Macaca mulatta: one gene and its partner. Each later gene encodes a partner of the first gene's protein in a complex. Links are inferred from orthologs where the notes say so. Each region holds a gene or a part of one and is shown on either strand. Other genes may lie near its edges.

Region 1 (7,965 bases):
ATCCCAGCACTTTGGGAGGCCGAGGCGGGCGGATCACAAGGTCAGGAGATCGAGACCACAGTGAAACCCCGTCTCTACTAAAAATACAAAAAATTAGCCGGGCGCGGTGGCGGGCGCCTGTAGTCCCAGCTACTCGGGAGGCTGAGGCAGGAGAATGGCGTGAACCCAGGAGGCGGAGCTTGCAGTGAGCCGAGATCGCGCCACTGCACTCCAGCCTGGGCAACAGCGTGAGACTCCGTCTCAAAAAAAAAAAAAAAAAAGAATTGTTGCTGTGCTGTGTTGGAAAGCAAATGCGCTCCCCTCCTACTGCAGGTTAAGTGGACGTGAATCCTGTGGTTCAGATGGGGAACCCATGGTAGGAGCATTAGTAGGTAGTTTGTGTAAGAAGAGTTCTTCTCAATAGGCCTCTGTTGGAAGGTGAAAGAATCCTACTAAAAGAGTTGATAAAGAAGGAAGCAGGAGTAAACGTCAATAAACCAATAGCAAAGGGGTTGAGGGAGGAGCAAATATGAGCCGTCAGTAAAAGGAGAGGCAATGTCTGCCTGCCTTCACAGTACTCTAGAGTGAGTCCCAGCTGGAGGAATAGAGTGGGCTCCAAGGAACTCATAAGTGCCCCTTATAACAAATACCAACTTTAAACACCTCCCAGTCTCAGAAACCATGGAACCATATTGTATCAGTCAGGTGAATAATTTCTGTACTCCTTCCCCCGTTTTTTGACACCAACTTCAGTCTTCTAGGGGACAGAACACATAAATCTGAGGGTGGAGACAATGGAAGAATAGAAAGAGGGAAGAAGGCTTCCGAATACTCCTTCAAGACAGCCTGAAGTTAGCCTAGCAAAGACGATTTTATTCTAAATTGCATTGAGACTTTTGATCATTCTATGTGACTGGCCATTCTAATTGCTGTGGGTGTTTTTTTTTAAGAGATCGTGACACTACTATCAAATAGTAAGCCGAAAAGTCCTGGGGTCTGCTGAAGATTTTTATCTAGAGGCAATGAAACCCTTCCCCAGTTAAATATGTTTCAAGATAGGGCGGGAGAAAAAATCATGTTTTGCTTTTGTTATGCTGTATAAGTTATTCAATAGTTTTACCCTCAAATACTTGTTATTACTTTTTTTGTTCTTAAAATGCTTTGAAAATCAAGTTTAAGTAAAATATCTTCTAGTACAAAAGTTTCAACTTTTCATATTCAGTTATATTAAACTTATATTGGAACACCCCTTTAGAATATACTGTAGTTTACCTGTAATTCCTATGTCAGTTTTCTGTGCTTCCCAGGATGACTATATAACAAATAGATTAGTTCCATTCAGTTCTATTCTTTCTATTCATCAAACATTTAATAATTCATACCCTCAGCACTGTACAGGTGTTGTGGGTGGCTCTAAGTAAGATTATAACATGTCCACTGTTTTCACAGAGCTTGAAATATTTTTGAGTTGACTAAGCTTGTATGAAAGTAATCCTAGTACAGTAAAATATAAGTACAATAGAGTCCAATCAAGTGCCTAGATATGTAGATCATAAATGGCAGTAGATCATCAAAGATTAACATTGCATACATTTATCTAAAAGTTTACACAAAGAAAGCACTTTGGTTTTGAATCAGATTGAATGCATTATAAAAATATTTAATCACTTTAGGAAAGTCATAATGAATTCATTCATTCCAAAATTAATTACTAAATAGCTAATACAAGCCAGGTACTATGCTGTTTTAGACATACATCGGTGAATAAAACAGACATTTTCCTTCCATCAAGGAAAGCACAATTTGATGAGATTCTAGACTAATATGCTGTCCAAGTAAATCCCTCATATAAAATTATGCAATTTACAGGGCATTACACATGCCCACACTTTCTAAATAGTTTATCTCAATGACTACGGTACTATTTGAATTTTGTCATTAGAGGATAATTCTTTCTTACTACTTTTTAGTAATGGCCAATACTTATTGAGAACTTGTTATATACCAGACAATGTTATGAATATTTACATGTCTTATCTTGTTTAATCTTTAAAAGAGCCTTGTGATGTAAATGCTATTATTAATCCCATTCATAGATGAGGAAGCTGAAATACAGAAAGTGTGTGTAACCTGCTCATGATCAAGCAGTATAGCTGGGGTTCTGATCCAACATCATCAATATAGGAATCTTTGGATTAATTTTTTAAAAACACGCATTTGGGCATAGAGTTAAATGGGAAAATAAGACATGCATATTAATAACAAACAATAAATGAGAATACACTAAATTATTAATTAAAAAACAGTGTGTACGATTGGATTTTTTTTTCTTTTTTTTTGAGACAAGAGTCTTGCTTTGTCGCCCAGGCTGGAGAGCAGTGGCGTGATCTTGGCTCACTGCAATCTTCACCTCCCGAGTTCGAGATTGTCCTGCCTCAGCCTTCAGAGTAGCTGGGATTACAGGCATGCGCCACCATGCTTGGCAAATTTTTGCATTTTTAGTAAAGATAGGATTTCACCGTGTTGGCCAGGCTGATCTGAAACTCCTGGCCTCAAGCAATCCGCCCGACTAGGCCTCCTAGGATTACAGGTATGAGCTACCAAGCATGGCCAGGTTGGATTTTTAAAATTTACCTAATTTAGGCCAGGTGTGGTGGCTCGCACCTGTAATCCCAGCACTTTGGGAGGCCGAGGCGAGTGGATCACGAGGTCAGGAGATCGAGACCATCCTGGCTAATGTGGTGAAACTCCGTCTCTACCAAAAAAAAAAAAAATTAGCCAGGCGTGGTGGCAGGCACCTGTAGTCCCAGCTGCTCGGGAGGCTGAGGCAGGAGAATGGTGTGAACCTGGGAGGCAGAGCTTGTAGTGAGCCAAGATTGCACTACTGCACTCCAGCCTAGGCGACAGAGCGAGACTCCATCTCAAAAACAAAACTAGTTAATTTAGGGTCTGATGGTAAAAGTGCTTTGGAATTTACACTTTGCTCTTTCTACACCTCAATGTATTCTGTGAAAGAGAACTAAAAATATCTGCTTTGAAAACCTCAGAAAATTGTAGTGAGCACAAATATAATAATTTGAATGAAGATGTTGGGGAAACCATAAAGTCCTATGCATATGTCAGTTTTTATTGTTACTCTTTGTTCATCTGAATCTCCCTGGAAAAGCAACGGCCATCCCCTTTAAAAGGTGTTATACTTCTTCGTGTTACTTTTTTTAAAATGAATTCTAATAATTTCCTAATTAGATAGCTTTTTTGACTTGGAATCAGAAAACAAAAATAGAAAGTGAAGTTAAAACAATAAACAGGAAAGGAGCTTGTTATGGTGTACACATCATGATTTACACTAGCATTGTAGGGAAGGGGGAAACGGGGACTTCCATTCACCTTAGAAGCCCTTCATGGTGAGAGCTGTTTGGACTATTTATATTTCTGGCAAACTCTTAGGAATTATGGGGAAATATAAACAAGATATAAGACAAAATCACTGTTTCCAAGTAGAATAGAATGAAATCTACAGCCAAGGACAGAATATACAATGTCTGAGAAAAAAGTCCCGAAATAAATAAATTGTATCTTACATCAATGCCAAGAGCGATCTTTTTTCTCTTTTTGGTTTGTATGATATTCAGTGCTGCATGTATATCTGACAATGATAGCTGGAATCAATCACAGTGTTTAGCAAATTATCTATTCCTAGAGGAAGAATACAAAGCCTGCCATGACTGCATCTTTTTTCTTCACGACACATGTGGAATATAGAATTGATTTTACTTTCCCTTAATAAGTGTTTACATTTTACTCCATTACAGTTCTAAATCTGAGCTATCCATGCACTTCTGCAAGATTATACATGCAAATTATGTGAAACTTCTATTTTTGATGCGAATATATCTAATTTTAACCCTTTTTTATTATGTAACAGGAATCCACTGTGAAGAAGACGTCAATGAATGTTCTTCAAACCCTTGCCAAAATGGTGGTACTTGTGAGAACTTGCCTGGGAATTATACTTGCCATTGCCCATTTGATAACCTTTCTAGAACTTTTTATGGAGGAAGGGACTGTTCTGATATTCTCCTGGGCTGTACCCATCAGCAATGCCTAAATAATGGAATATGCATCCCTCACTTCCAAGATGGCCAGCATGGATTCGGCTGCCTGTGTCCATCTGGCTACACCGGGTCCCTGTGTGAAATCGCAACCACACTTTCATTTGAGGGTGATGGTTTCCTGTGGGTCAAAACTGGCTCAGCGACAACCAAGGGCTCAGTTTGTAACATAGCCCTCAGGTTTCAGACTGTTCAGCCAGTGGCTCTTCTACTTTTCCGAGGCAACAGGGATGTGTTTGTGAAGCTGGAGCTGCTAAGTGGCTACATTCACTTATCAATTCAGGTCAACAGTCAGCCAAAGGTGCTTCTGTACATTTCCCACAACACCAGCGACGGAGAGTGGCATTTCGTGGAGGTAATATTTGCAGAGGCTGTGACCCTTACCTTAATCGACGACTCCTGTAAGGAGAAATGCATCTCGAAAGCTCCTTCTCCACTTGAAAGTGATCAATCAATATGTGCTTTTCAGAACTCCTTTTTGGGTGGTTTACCAGTGGGGACAACCAGCGATGGTGTCGCTCTACTTAAGTTCTATAATATACCATCCACACCTTCGTTTGTAGGCTGTCTCCAAGATATTAAAATTGATTGGAATCACATTACCCTGGAGAACATCTCGTCTGTCTCATCATTAAATGTCAAGGCAGGCTGTGTGAGAAAGGATTGGTGTGAAAGCCAACCTTGTCAAAGCAGAGGACGCTGCATCAACTTGTGGCTGAGTTACCAGTGTGACTGCCACAGGCCCTATAAAGGCCCCAACTGTCTGAGAGGTGAGAGAAAGCTGACTGCTATGGCTGGGAGTGCCGTGCCTCAGAGCAGAGCAGAAACAGCAAAAACAGCCACACTGCTTCTGCCTGCTATGAAACATAATGACCCCACAGGACTTCTGCTGCTGGTTGCCCACTGATGAGAAAGAAAAGAAGAGGGCAGTGATGTGCATTAATTAATTTTGAGTGGATTCACAGGGCATAAGTTTCACTCATACAGAGAAGTAAAAAAAAAAATAAGCAGATAGCTCCTTTCCAAAGAGGTTTTCATCTTTGTGTTTGCAAAATGCTCTTGCAATTTTACCATTGGTTGCATATCAGAAATGTATGTAAATCTTATTTGAAAGAGAAATAATTCTTTTGAAAAAAGGACCCTTAGACATAAAATTTGTCAGTGCCACATACTAGCATGATATCTTGTGCATAGTAAATTCTCGGTACATATTCATTTCCTTGCTCTCCTTTCTATGCAATTCACACTTGCTCCAAAATCATAATTAAGCATAGCGTTTTTATAAAACACCAATTTTATTCAAAGGTATCTTTTCCAAGGCTGCCCTGGGGAAGACAGATAATATACTAGGTGTCTTAAGGAAAAAAAAAGAAAAGAAAATGTGGAAAGTAACAATAGTAGAACTTGGTAGATGCCATAAACTAATTGATCGAATTTCTCTAGTAAACCACAGTTTGAAAAGTATTTCAAAATCCTTAACTTCCAACATTGTTCTAGAGATTGCTGTTGATAGTGATCAATACGTACCTGTTTCTTTTTATTATTATTATCATACATTGAAAAAGTCTGAGATGTAATTGTAACAGACTGCTTTGAAGTTCAGCTGTAATTTACCCCAAGATTTTAGAGTAACTTGAAGTAGGACAACATCTGGTAAGTAGTCTTCTCTGCTTTATATGAAGTAAAATTAAAACCAGTCTTAGCCTATACTCTATTCCATGTTCAAATGTCTAAGAATTATTAGAAACTACTCAAGGGTTTCCCCCTGACCACAATATTCATTACAAATCATGGACCTGTTTGACAATGAAGTATGGCATCTACTAGCTATACGTAATATTTTAAGTAGAATGGCAAGTTGTTTTGTGATTTTTTTAAGGAGAAAAAGGGAAATTATGCTGAGGCAATGTTCACTTTTTGAAGAAAAATTTAATTGACCAAAGGCAATATTTTTACTACATATACAAAATAACAAACAGATGCTGACTCATTTTGACTGGCTTCCAGATGCAGTGACCCATAAGGTTAATACTGACCATGGTGATGTTAACTGTCCTAGTAAATAGATTCAAGAGATGCCAGTCCAGTGGGTTCTGGTTTTCTTTATTTTATCCAACTTGGAAAACCATGAACTTTTCAAACCAAGTTCCTGAATTGGTTACCCTTCCCCCGCTTCTCCCAGTTTCCTTATACTCCAACATTATTTGAAACTGTTTAACCCTCATGAAAATGTTTGACTTCAAAAGATCACTTTACAGAGAGAGAGTTCTGTAAAATCTTTTCTTTCTGAAAATTCTTGGTATAAATTTAAGGAAAATTATATTTTTCATATCACTTCTTCATTAGAAAATTAAACTATTCGGTATTTTCTGTTATCTAGAAGGAATGTTTCCTGGAGCGTTTACTCCCACTACAAACAATGCTTTTAAGCAGTAATGAGAACATGGAATCTTTCTGCTACTGTACATGTGTATTCAAGAGGGAGGAGACATACTAAAAAGCACAAAGGCAAACTTCAGCCCATTCATGACTTGCACTCTTATTTAGCTCAATGTTTTCCAACCATGGTACACGCTGTAATGAACAAGGAGATTGGATAGAAGATTTTGGTGGCTGACTAAACACAAAAGACATAGTGATTTCCAATAACTCAAGGTTGATCTTTTTAAAATAATCTAATTTATCAACAGAAAGAGTACTGAAAAGGATTTAACTAAGCTTAGTTTACAGAAGTGTCCATAAAGTTCTCTCAGCATATCTTGTGTTGACTGTTTGTAAGAACATGGAGCATTCAAGATATTACTACTTAGAATAAATGACATCACCTACCTCTTGCTCTCTGGTGAATATTTGACTTACAAAAGCAATTTACATGTCTCTTCTCTTCAGCCATATACCTAGATTTTGAGAATTTTATTCTCTTAGAATTGTAGTTTCCTAGATATAGAAGAGGCTTCATTCTATGATGGAATTTTTAACACTATTGTACCTGCCAAATGTAGTGGCTCAAATCTCTGCTTAAATACCTTCAGAAATAGAGAGATCACTCACTCCGTCTTGCCAAAAATTGCCCAAAAGTTATTTCCTTATATTGAAATAAAATATGATTTGCCTGTAGCTTTCCTTCATTGACCATGTTGCAATTCTGGAAGACATGCAAATGAAAATCTGAACTTGCCTGCTACTTGAGAATACTTAATATCTGAAGAAAAGTATCTTCGGCCATCTAAGCCATCACTTCTATTCGGGCTAAACTTCCTGTTTCTTCTAATGTTTGCCATATGACATAGTTTTCCACACTTCATCAGCTGCTTGCAGGTTTTGGAATATATTTGCTGCTTTGTATTCCTTCTAAGATGTGATGTCTGTATGTCCTTGATGATACAGTGACACAGGGCCACAACCTCCCTTATTCTAGAAAATGTGCTTATGCTTTTCAGCTTAATACAACATTGACTTTTTGGCAGCCACACTTCGTGATTGCATCATTTTTTATCATTGTCACTCATGATGCCACGTAGTCCTGTTTCTCCTACTCTAAACTTATAAGGCACATTTAGATCGAAGTGGCTCTCATTTATTCTTGTTAAATTTCATCTCGTTGTATTCCATCTGTCATTAAAGCTTGTCAAAATTGTTTTTCATCTGTATATGTTGTCCCTCTTCATAACATGTCAACCACTTGTATGAGAATCACCCTTCCAAATCTACAGCCAAGTCATACATGTCTTCAGGTGTTTCTAAAATCATGTAGCAAATCGCACATGCTGACTAGTTGCTTGTGATTTCTGAGGAATAGGACTGCTGAAGAGTCAGGCTTCTGAGAAAAAAAAATAGTCTGCGTTTTGGCTTTTAATCCGGATCCACAAAGTGA
Region 2 (7,965 bases), on another chromosome or scaffold:
CTCAAAAAAAGCAAAAAACAAAAGAGAAAAGAAGGAAAAGAAAAATACTGCACATCAGTCTATTCTGAAAAGATCCCTACTTTAAATACGAAAATAGGCTGGGTTCGGTGGCTCATGCCTGTAGTCCCAGCATTTTGGGAGGCCAAGGCAGGCAGATCACCTGAGGTCAGGAGTTCAAAACCAGTTTGGCCAACATGGTGAAACCCCATCTCTACTAAAAATACAAAATCAACCAGGCACTAAAAATACAAAATCAAATCCCATCTCTACTAAAAATAGTGCATGCCTGTTATCCCAGCTGCTCGGGAGGCTGAGGCAGGAGAATTGCTTGAACCTGGGAGGTAGAGATTGCAGTGAGCCGAGATTGCGCCATTGCACTCCAGTCTGGGCAACAAGAATGAAACTCCATCTCAAAAAAAAAAATGATAAAATAAAAATAAATAAATACAAAAATACCTTAAAATGCTGTATTTTTGGCTGGGTACGGTGGCTCACACCTGTAATCTAGCACTTTGGGAGGCCAAGGCAGGTAGATCACCTGAGGTCAGAAGTTTGAGACCAGCCTGGCCAACACAGTGAAACCCTATCTCTGCTAAAAATACAAAAATTAGCTGGATGTGGTGACATGCACTTGTAGTCTCAGCTACTTGGGAGGCTGAGGCAGGAGAACTGCTTGAACCTGGGAGGCGGAGGTTGCAGTGAGCCCAGATGGTGCCACTGCTTGCCTCGGTGACAGAGTGAGACTCCAACTAAAAAGAAAAAGAAAAAAAAAGAAAAGAAAAAGAAAAAGCTGCATTTTAAAAGGGATAGACCTGGCCTGGCATTTTGCTCTTTCTCCCACTTTCTTCATTTTTAAGCTACTTCATTTTCCAGTTAAGTAGTTCCTGAGATTATTCACCATGAACCTATATTCCTTTGGTCTTCAGATTAAACCAGCCTTTTATTCTTAATCAATAATGAAAGGTGGGGGTTAAATAACCACCAAAGTATAAGTAAGTTATTTCATTCTTAGGTTGAAACAATCTGTGTAAATTAATTACTTTGATATTCTGTTTTGTATACAATGAGAATCAACAAGTTTCAATGTAACACTTCGATTAATTTTATCAATGAAAAAAATGGCTTTTCTTTTACAGAATTCCAAATTCTGCATGAATAGCAGGAAAAAAAATGTTGAGAAAACACATCTTGGCTGGGCATTGTGGCTCACATCTGTAATCCCAAAACTTTGGGAGGCTGAGGCAGGTGGACCGCTTGAGCTCAGGAGTTCGAGACCATTCTGGGCAACATAGTGAAACCCACCTCTACCAAAAGTACAAAAAATTAGCTGGATGTGGTGGTATGCATCTGTGGTCCCGGCTACTAGGGAGGCTAAGGTAGGAGGACTGCTTGAGCCCAGGCAGTCAGGGCTGCAGTGAGTCATGATCACACCACTGCACTCCAGCCTGGGCAATAGAGCCAGATCCCACCTCAACAACAACAACAACAACAACAACAACAAACAAACAAACAAAAAAACATGGCTTAACTTCCGACATTCATTCTAAAAGACAAAAGTCATTTGCTCAGGAGGGGTGGATTATTGTAGATAAGTAAGTAGGAGCATATTCCAACCCTCTGTTATGTTTCCTCAGTTTGCAGAGCTACTTTTGAAGTTCAGGGCATAACACAGAAGAGATACAAGGAACCGCACAATGCACAGAGAATCAAGCTGTTTGAATTCAAAGACAAGCTATATTTCCTCATTTCTCTTCCTACAAAAAATTGCAAACATAAAGTAGGTTGCAGATACAATATCAACTTCAGTGTGTTCTGTAAAAAATGAAGGGAAAACATGGAATGATAGCCAAATTATAAAGCATTATCTGTGATGAAATATTGAGAGAAAAATGAAACTGTGTTGTTTCTCAAACTGCTATGCTTTAAAGTTAAGAATAACAGATGCAATACATCAAGCTTCCATGTTAATTCAGCACTTCAAAGTCTATCATTTTTAAATAGCTTTATTGACACATAATTCATATAAAATTCACTCATGTACACAACTGGACGGTTTCAGTATATTCACAGATTTGTACCATCATCACCACAAACAATTTTAGAACATTTTTATCCCCTCAAAAAGAAACTTGGAACTGATTAGCAATCACCATTCTCTCATAACTCCTTATCTCCACATCTAAGGAATTACTAATCTGCTTTCTCTCCTACGGATTTACCTATTCTGGACATTTTAAATAAATGAACCAATAAATGACCTTTTGTGACTGGCTTCTTTCACTCAGCATAATTTCTTCAAGGTTCATCCATGTTGTAGCATGTATCAGTATTTTAGTCTTCTAAAATTACCAAATAATATCCCATCATACATACATATTTTGTCTTTCATTCATCACCTGACAGACATTTGGGTTGTTACTACTTTCTAGCTACTATGAATGTTGCTACTGTGAACATTCATGTAGATGTTCTTATGTGAATATATGTTTTCAGTCCTCTTGGATATGTACTTTGGAATGCAATTGCTTGACTGTATGGTAATGGAGCCTAACTTTTAATAGATCTAGCTGAGTAAATGTCTAACAGAACAATATACTCTAAAATAAGGGTTGCACATACTTTTTAAAAGCACTTGCCCCACCCCATACTAAGTTAACCCATCTGTAACTACCAAAAAAAAAAAAAATTCAGAAACTGAAATTATTTTCTACTTTTTATTTTAAAAAGGTACAGAGTTGGCTGGATGTGATGGCTCACACCTGTAATCCCAGCACTTTGGAAGGCCAAGGTAGGCAGATCACATGAAGCCAGGAGTTCAAGACCAGCCTGGCCAACATGGCAAAACCCTGTCTCTACTAAAAATACAAAAATTAGCTGGGCGTGGTGGCATGTGCCTGGAATCACAGCTACTCAAGAGGCTGAGGTGGGAGAATCATTTGAACCTGGAAGGCATAGGTTGCAGTGAGCCAAGATCACACCACTGCACTCCAGCCTGGGCAACAGATGGAGACTCCATCTCCCACCTTCCAAAAAAAAAAAGGTGCAGAGTTTACTAATTTAAAACATTGATAGTTCATATTTATTTAAACAAAAATGATTGAATTTATCTGTATTTGAGTACAGGAAATACTTAGTGACATTTCTGTAACAGTAAACAGTAACAGAAGCAAACAGCAGCCATGGAACACATAAATAATGAACATTTAAAAATCACTTACTACTGTTTCCTTGGCAGGAGGCGGCTTGATCTGTTGACTGGGAATCAGAACAAAAGTCAAAGTACCATGCATATCAGACTGTAATAGAAAGATCAGATTTTTAAAATTTGTATTTATGAAAATCATTCCATGATTTTATGATCTATATTCCCTAAACTGGACTATTTCAGAACCCCTCCACAGACTTAAATGACCAGAGGCATTTTGCTCTACCAAAGCAATGAATGGGGCTGGGTGAAAATAAGTGTGTGAAGATGTTTCTAGATTTTACAGCAGATAGTAGAGATTCCACTGTAATAACAGAAGCTGAATAACTAGGACCATAAATCTGGTCTGTGGGTATGTACAAAGTGATCATAAATTGCCCTCAAAAGATGTCCAGAAATGATTTTGTGATTATACTAGCACTATCCAATAGAACCTTCTCCAATGATGGAAATGTGCTATTTCTGTATCTTAATAATGGTAGCCATTAGCTACATACTGCTTCTCAGCACTTGAAATGCACCTAATGTGAATAAGGAACTGAATTTTAAATTTTACTTAATTTAAACAGAAATAGCTACATGCAGCTAGTGATTGTTATACCGGACGCTGCAGATCTATAGCACTGCTTTATCTAATATTATTAGGAAAACAACAATCAATTACAGATAATAAAATAAAAGAACACAAAAAATCATGAGGACACAGACTTTGTTTTGTTACTGTTTCCCAAGTGGCCAGTGCATATTAGGCACTCAATAAATATGTACTGAGTGAATTAATGAGTTATATTACTGATTCCAGAAAAATAAAATATATGTGATAGTGATACATCAGAAAGTAGAAAAATACCAGTGGTACCACCCAAAAATAAAACTGCTAACAAATACTGTGGAACAGTTATATCATGGAAAAATCAGGCTAGAAATCATCCAGCGCTCATAACAGTTACTTAAAAAATATTTTAAAGTCTAATAAGAACTTTCTAAAAGCTATCAATCATTCTTCTAGCTGTGTCAACTTACCAGCAAGTCAAAAACCTCATTGACATCTTTCCCCCGAATTTCAATGCCATTAATCTCTAGAACTTCATCTCCTTCATGCAACAGACCACTTTTCTCTGCAGCACCCCCTTTTACTATCCGGCTAATGATGACAGAGTCCATTTCATTACGAACTGTAGCACCCTAAAAAAAAAAAAATACATATATATATATATATCTCTCTCTCTCTCTCTCTAATTTAAAAACAAAAATAATATGATTTTTGTTAAGTATTTATTTATTTTTAAATTCTATTTTTTCTATTCAACAATACTAACCTTCAGTTAAGAAAAAATGTATTTACACAACTAGAGTAATCATAATTAGATTTAAAAGTTGACCATTTCCCCCACATTTTCCACTTCAGAAATACTCTATTCATTAGAATTCTGAAGTTAACCAGACTTCTGAAGCACACAACAGCAGAAAAATGCACTTGTTTAAAAACAGTATGTGGGACACTTACCAATGGAATATCACGAGCCTTTTCTATACGAACTATTTTTACAGTTTCTCCTCCATACTGGCCAATACTTTCATAAACTCTCTCATCTGTAATGGGCTCTAGCTGCATTTCCTGTTCAGCAACCTTATCGTGGGCCAGTAAAAGTGCCTGTTTCAAAGAAATCCATGGTATTTTAAGTAACAGCATGATTTAGTTCTGCACAGTGATTTTTAACCTCACTATGTACATAGTATTCTGACCATTAAATCTTTAAAAGAGCTATAATTAATTACAGCTAATAATAAAGATGTGTTAAGTATACTAAGGGCATACTCTGGAATGGGTTATGAAAGTCTAAAATGCTTATTAAACTTCATAAAATAACATCAATGTAAAGGCTTAAACACTGTAGATAATTAAAACTTACAGAAAATATCACCAAAGGGGGGAAGAATTTTTGCCTAACTTTTAAAGAAAAAGTTGTTTCAAAATAATTTAGTTCATTTTAAATCTGAAAATATATAATCCAACAATAACTACTATGTTATAGATGGGGTTGTAAACATCAAAATAGGCTAGAGAATGTTTGACATCTCTTCCAGCCCTGGGATCTTTGATTTAAAAAAATAAAAGAACAACACTGGAAAAACCACATATATAATATTCTGTCCATTTTCTACCTGAATATGTGGAGTATTCAGCAAAGCAGTTAGTTCTTGTCCTTCCTTATGATGGACTGGCTTCAAAACAGTTTGTACCTAAGAAACAAAAATAAAGATTATTCTTCCTAGATTATAGGAAGTATCAGTAGCACCTGTATGCAGGGTCATATTTTTTTAAAGTACAAATTAAAATAATAAAAAATGCTTGTAAGAAATAAAATCACCAAAAAGAATCATGAGAGTTTTCAATCTTGTTATTATGGATAACAACAGTACTTCTTATTAAAAAAAAAACACTAAGATTTTGGTACTTATGCCTATAGACAAAATACTTCCATCTTGAAAGTTTCTCCCAACATACCATAAAATTCATTAATAATTACATAAGAAAAGAAAAACTGTCCTAACAGTTACCTTGCTATTTTATAGTTTTTAAATCATTTATGTGACTATTTAAAATCAGAGATGACAACTTAAAGAGTTATAGTCAAGGCTGGGCGCAGTGGCTCACACCTGTAATTCCAGCACTTTGGGAGGCTGAGGCAAGTGGATTGCTTGAGTCCAGGAGTTTGAGACCAGCCTGGGCAACATAGTGAGACCCTGTCTCTATTTTATAAATTTTTTTATATAATTAAAAAAAAAAAGAGTGACAGTCTAACAAGATGAATTTATATGAGTGCAATGGAACAATCACCATAACATAATGGATTACATTAAATTTCCCACAGTCGAGAAATCTTTGTCTTCCTACGATAAACTCCCCTTGCTTATAAATTTTTTTAGCCTGTTTCCTTATCTACTACTTATGGTGCTTCAAAGACTGATTAAGAAAATCTTAAAACAGGCCAGATGCAATGGTTCACACCAGTAATCCCAGCACTTTGGGAGGCCAAAGCAGGCAGATCACTTGCAGTCAGGAGTTCAAGACCAGCACGGCCAAAATGGCAAAATACTGTCTCTACTAAAAATACAAAAATTAGCCAACCGTGGTGGTGTGTGCCTGTAATTCCAGCTACTCAAGAGGCTGAGGCATGAGAATGACTTGAACCCATGAGGTAGAGGTTGTAGTGAGTTAAGATGGTGCCACTGCACTCCAGCCTGGATGATGTAATGAGACTGTCTCAAAAAAAAAAAAAAGAGTAACTTATAATTAATACAGGAACCCAGTAATTCTATACCTTTTATGGCTATTTTAAATCATTTTATCAGTAATTTCCCTATGAAACCCAAGAGATGATAATTTGGGGATTAATTAACTTTACCATAGCAAGTGGATCAAAGCAATGACAGTACCAAAACCAGTCTGTCCTCAGGTTTTGGTACTTAGAAAATTATATTTCTAATTGTAGAGTTCTATATGTATAAACGGGATGGCAGAGCAAATATTATCTTCTCCAAGAACTCAACTAAAATCTTACAATGGACAAGGCTTTAAGGCTTTAAGACCCAGGATTTAAGACTGTGGGTAACTAAAAGTTGTTTTTAAAAGAGGGTATTTTCCCTTTTAAAGTTTATCAAGTCTACATTAATTTTAAATGAAATTTGTAGTCTTGATCATACACCTTTTGACAGCTGAAGAAACTCTGAGGATGGGAAGATAATTCTGGATTAAAAATGTACCAAGGGTGTACACTTTTACACTGAGTCAGCTCAATAATAATTTTCTGTATCAGAGATTCTTTCCATATTCCCACTTCTAAGTCAGTTCCTAAACATCTCTGAGATCCTCCCTTCTAAAGAAATTTAGAACTCCCGTGTTTACCCACTGCCCTACTAACCTATATGTTGCTTATTCTAGTGTCAACACATACCATCAGCTACTTCTACAATGGCGTTAAGGAATTAAAAAGCTATTCTTTTATTCTACTGCTCCTTTCCATTGGCCTATAAAAATGCCCTAATCTCTTATCTTTAAAAATACCTTTTCCTGACCTTGTACACTTCTTTAGCTATACTACTTTTCCTTGTTTCCTTCAGAAGCAAGATCTTTTTGCATTTTAAAACTAATTTTTTAATTATAAAAATGATTTTAAATGTGAAAAATCAGAAAATTGATAAGCAAAAGGAAGGAAGTACAAAGATGGACTTTTATTATACTTAGGGATAATCACTTTCGTATATATCCTTCCTTCATTTTTCTACTTGTTTTTACCAAAATATTTACCTTGATATATGTATCTGACAAAGAACTTGTAGCCAGAATATATTAAGAACTCTTACAACTCAAGACGATTAAAATGGAAAGAGATTTGACTGGATATTTCACAAAAGATAGAGAAACAGCCAATACACATATAGAATAATGCTAAATATCATTAGTCGCTATGTAAATGCAAATCAAAACAAGATACTATTACCTACCTACTAGAATCATAAACAGGAAACAACCTACATATTCATCAATAGGTGAGTGGTCAAATTGTGGGATATTGAAAGAATGAAATGATAGTCAGCAATTTACAAACTACTGATACAAGAACAACATGGATGAATCTCAAAAACATTATACTAAGCAAAAGTCTGACAGAAAAGACTACCTGTTGTTTTATTACATTTATATGAAATGCCCACAAATGACAAATTTGTAAAACAGAAAGCAAATCCATGGATAT

Evidence for each region. The genes of interacting proteins can lie anywhere in the genome.
Region 2: the proteins of CRB1 (region 1) and PALS1 are in contact, whole or in part, in a crystal structure (PDB 4UU5), measured with the Homo sapiens proteins. The link is inferred for Macaca mulatta from reciprocal best matches to the Homo sapiens genes CRB1 and PALS1. Residues at the interface, in NP_957705.1 of Homo sapiens: Ala1401, Met1402, Glu1403, Arg1404, Leu1405, Ile1406; in NP_071919.2 of Homo sapiens: Lys261, Pro266, Leu267, Gly268, Ala269, Thr270, Val271, Arg272, Asn273, Ser281, Arg282, Val284, Val314, Asn315, Val317, Phe318, Leu321.

What each region holds. Positions count from the first base shown.
Region 1 is NC_133406.1:55,029,687-55,037,651, forward strand, and holds part of CRB1 (protein crumbs homolog 1), read left to right. Parts: intron 1-3,904; coding exon 3,905-4,861; intron 4,862-7,965. UniProt on the Homo sapiens protein: Plays a role in photoreceptor morphogenesis in the retina. May maintain cell polarization and adhesion.
Region 2 is NC_133412.1:140,469,411-140,477,375, reverse strand, and holds part of PALS1 (protein PALS1), read right to left. Parts: intron 5,450-7,965; coding exon 5,372-5,449; intron 4,860-5,371; coding exon 4,713-4,859; intron 4,391-4,712; coding exon 4,229-4,390; intron 3,297-4,228; coding exon 3,219-3,296; intron 1-3,218. UniProt on the Homo sapiens protein: Plays a role in tight junction biogenesis and in the establishment of cell polarity in epithelial cells.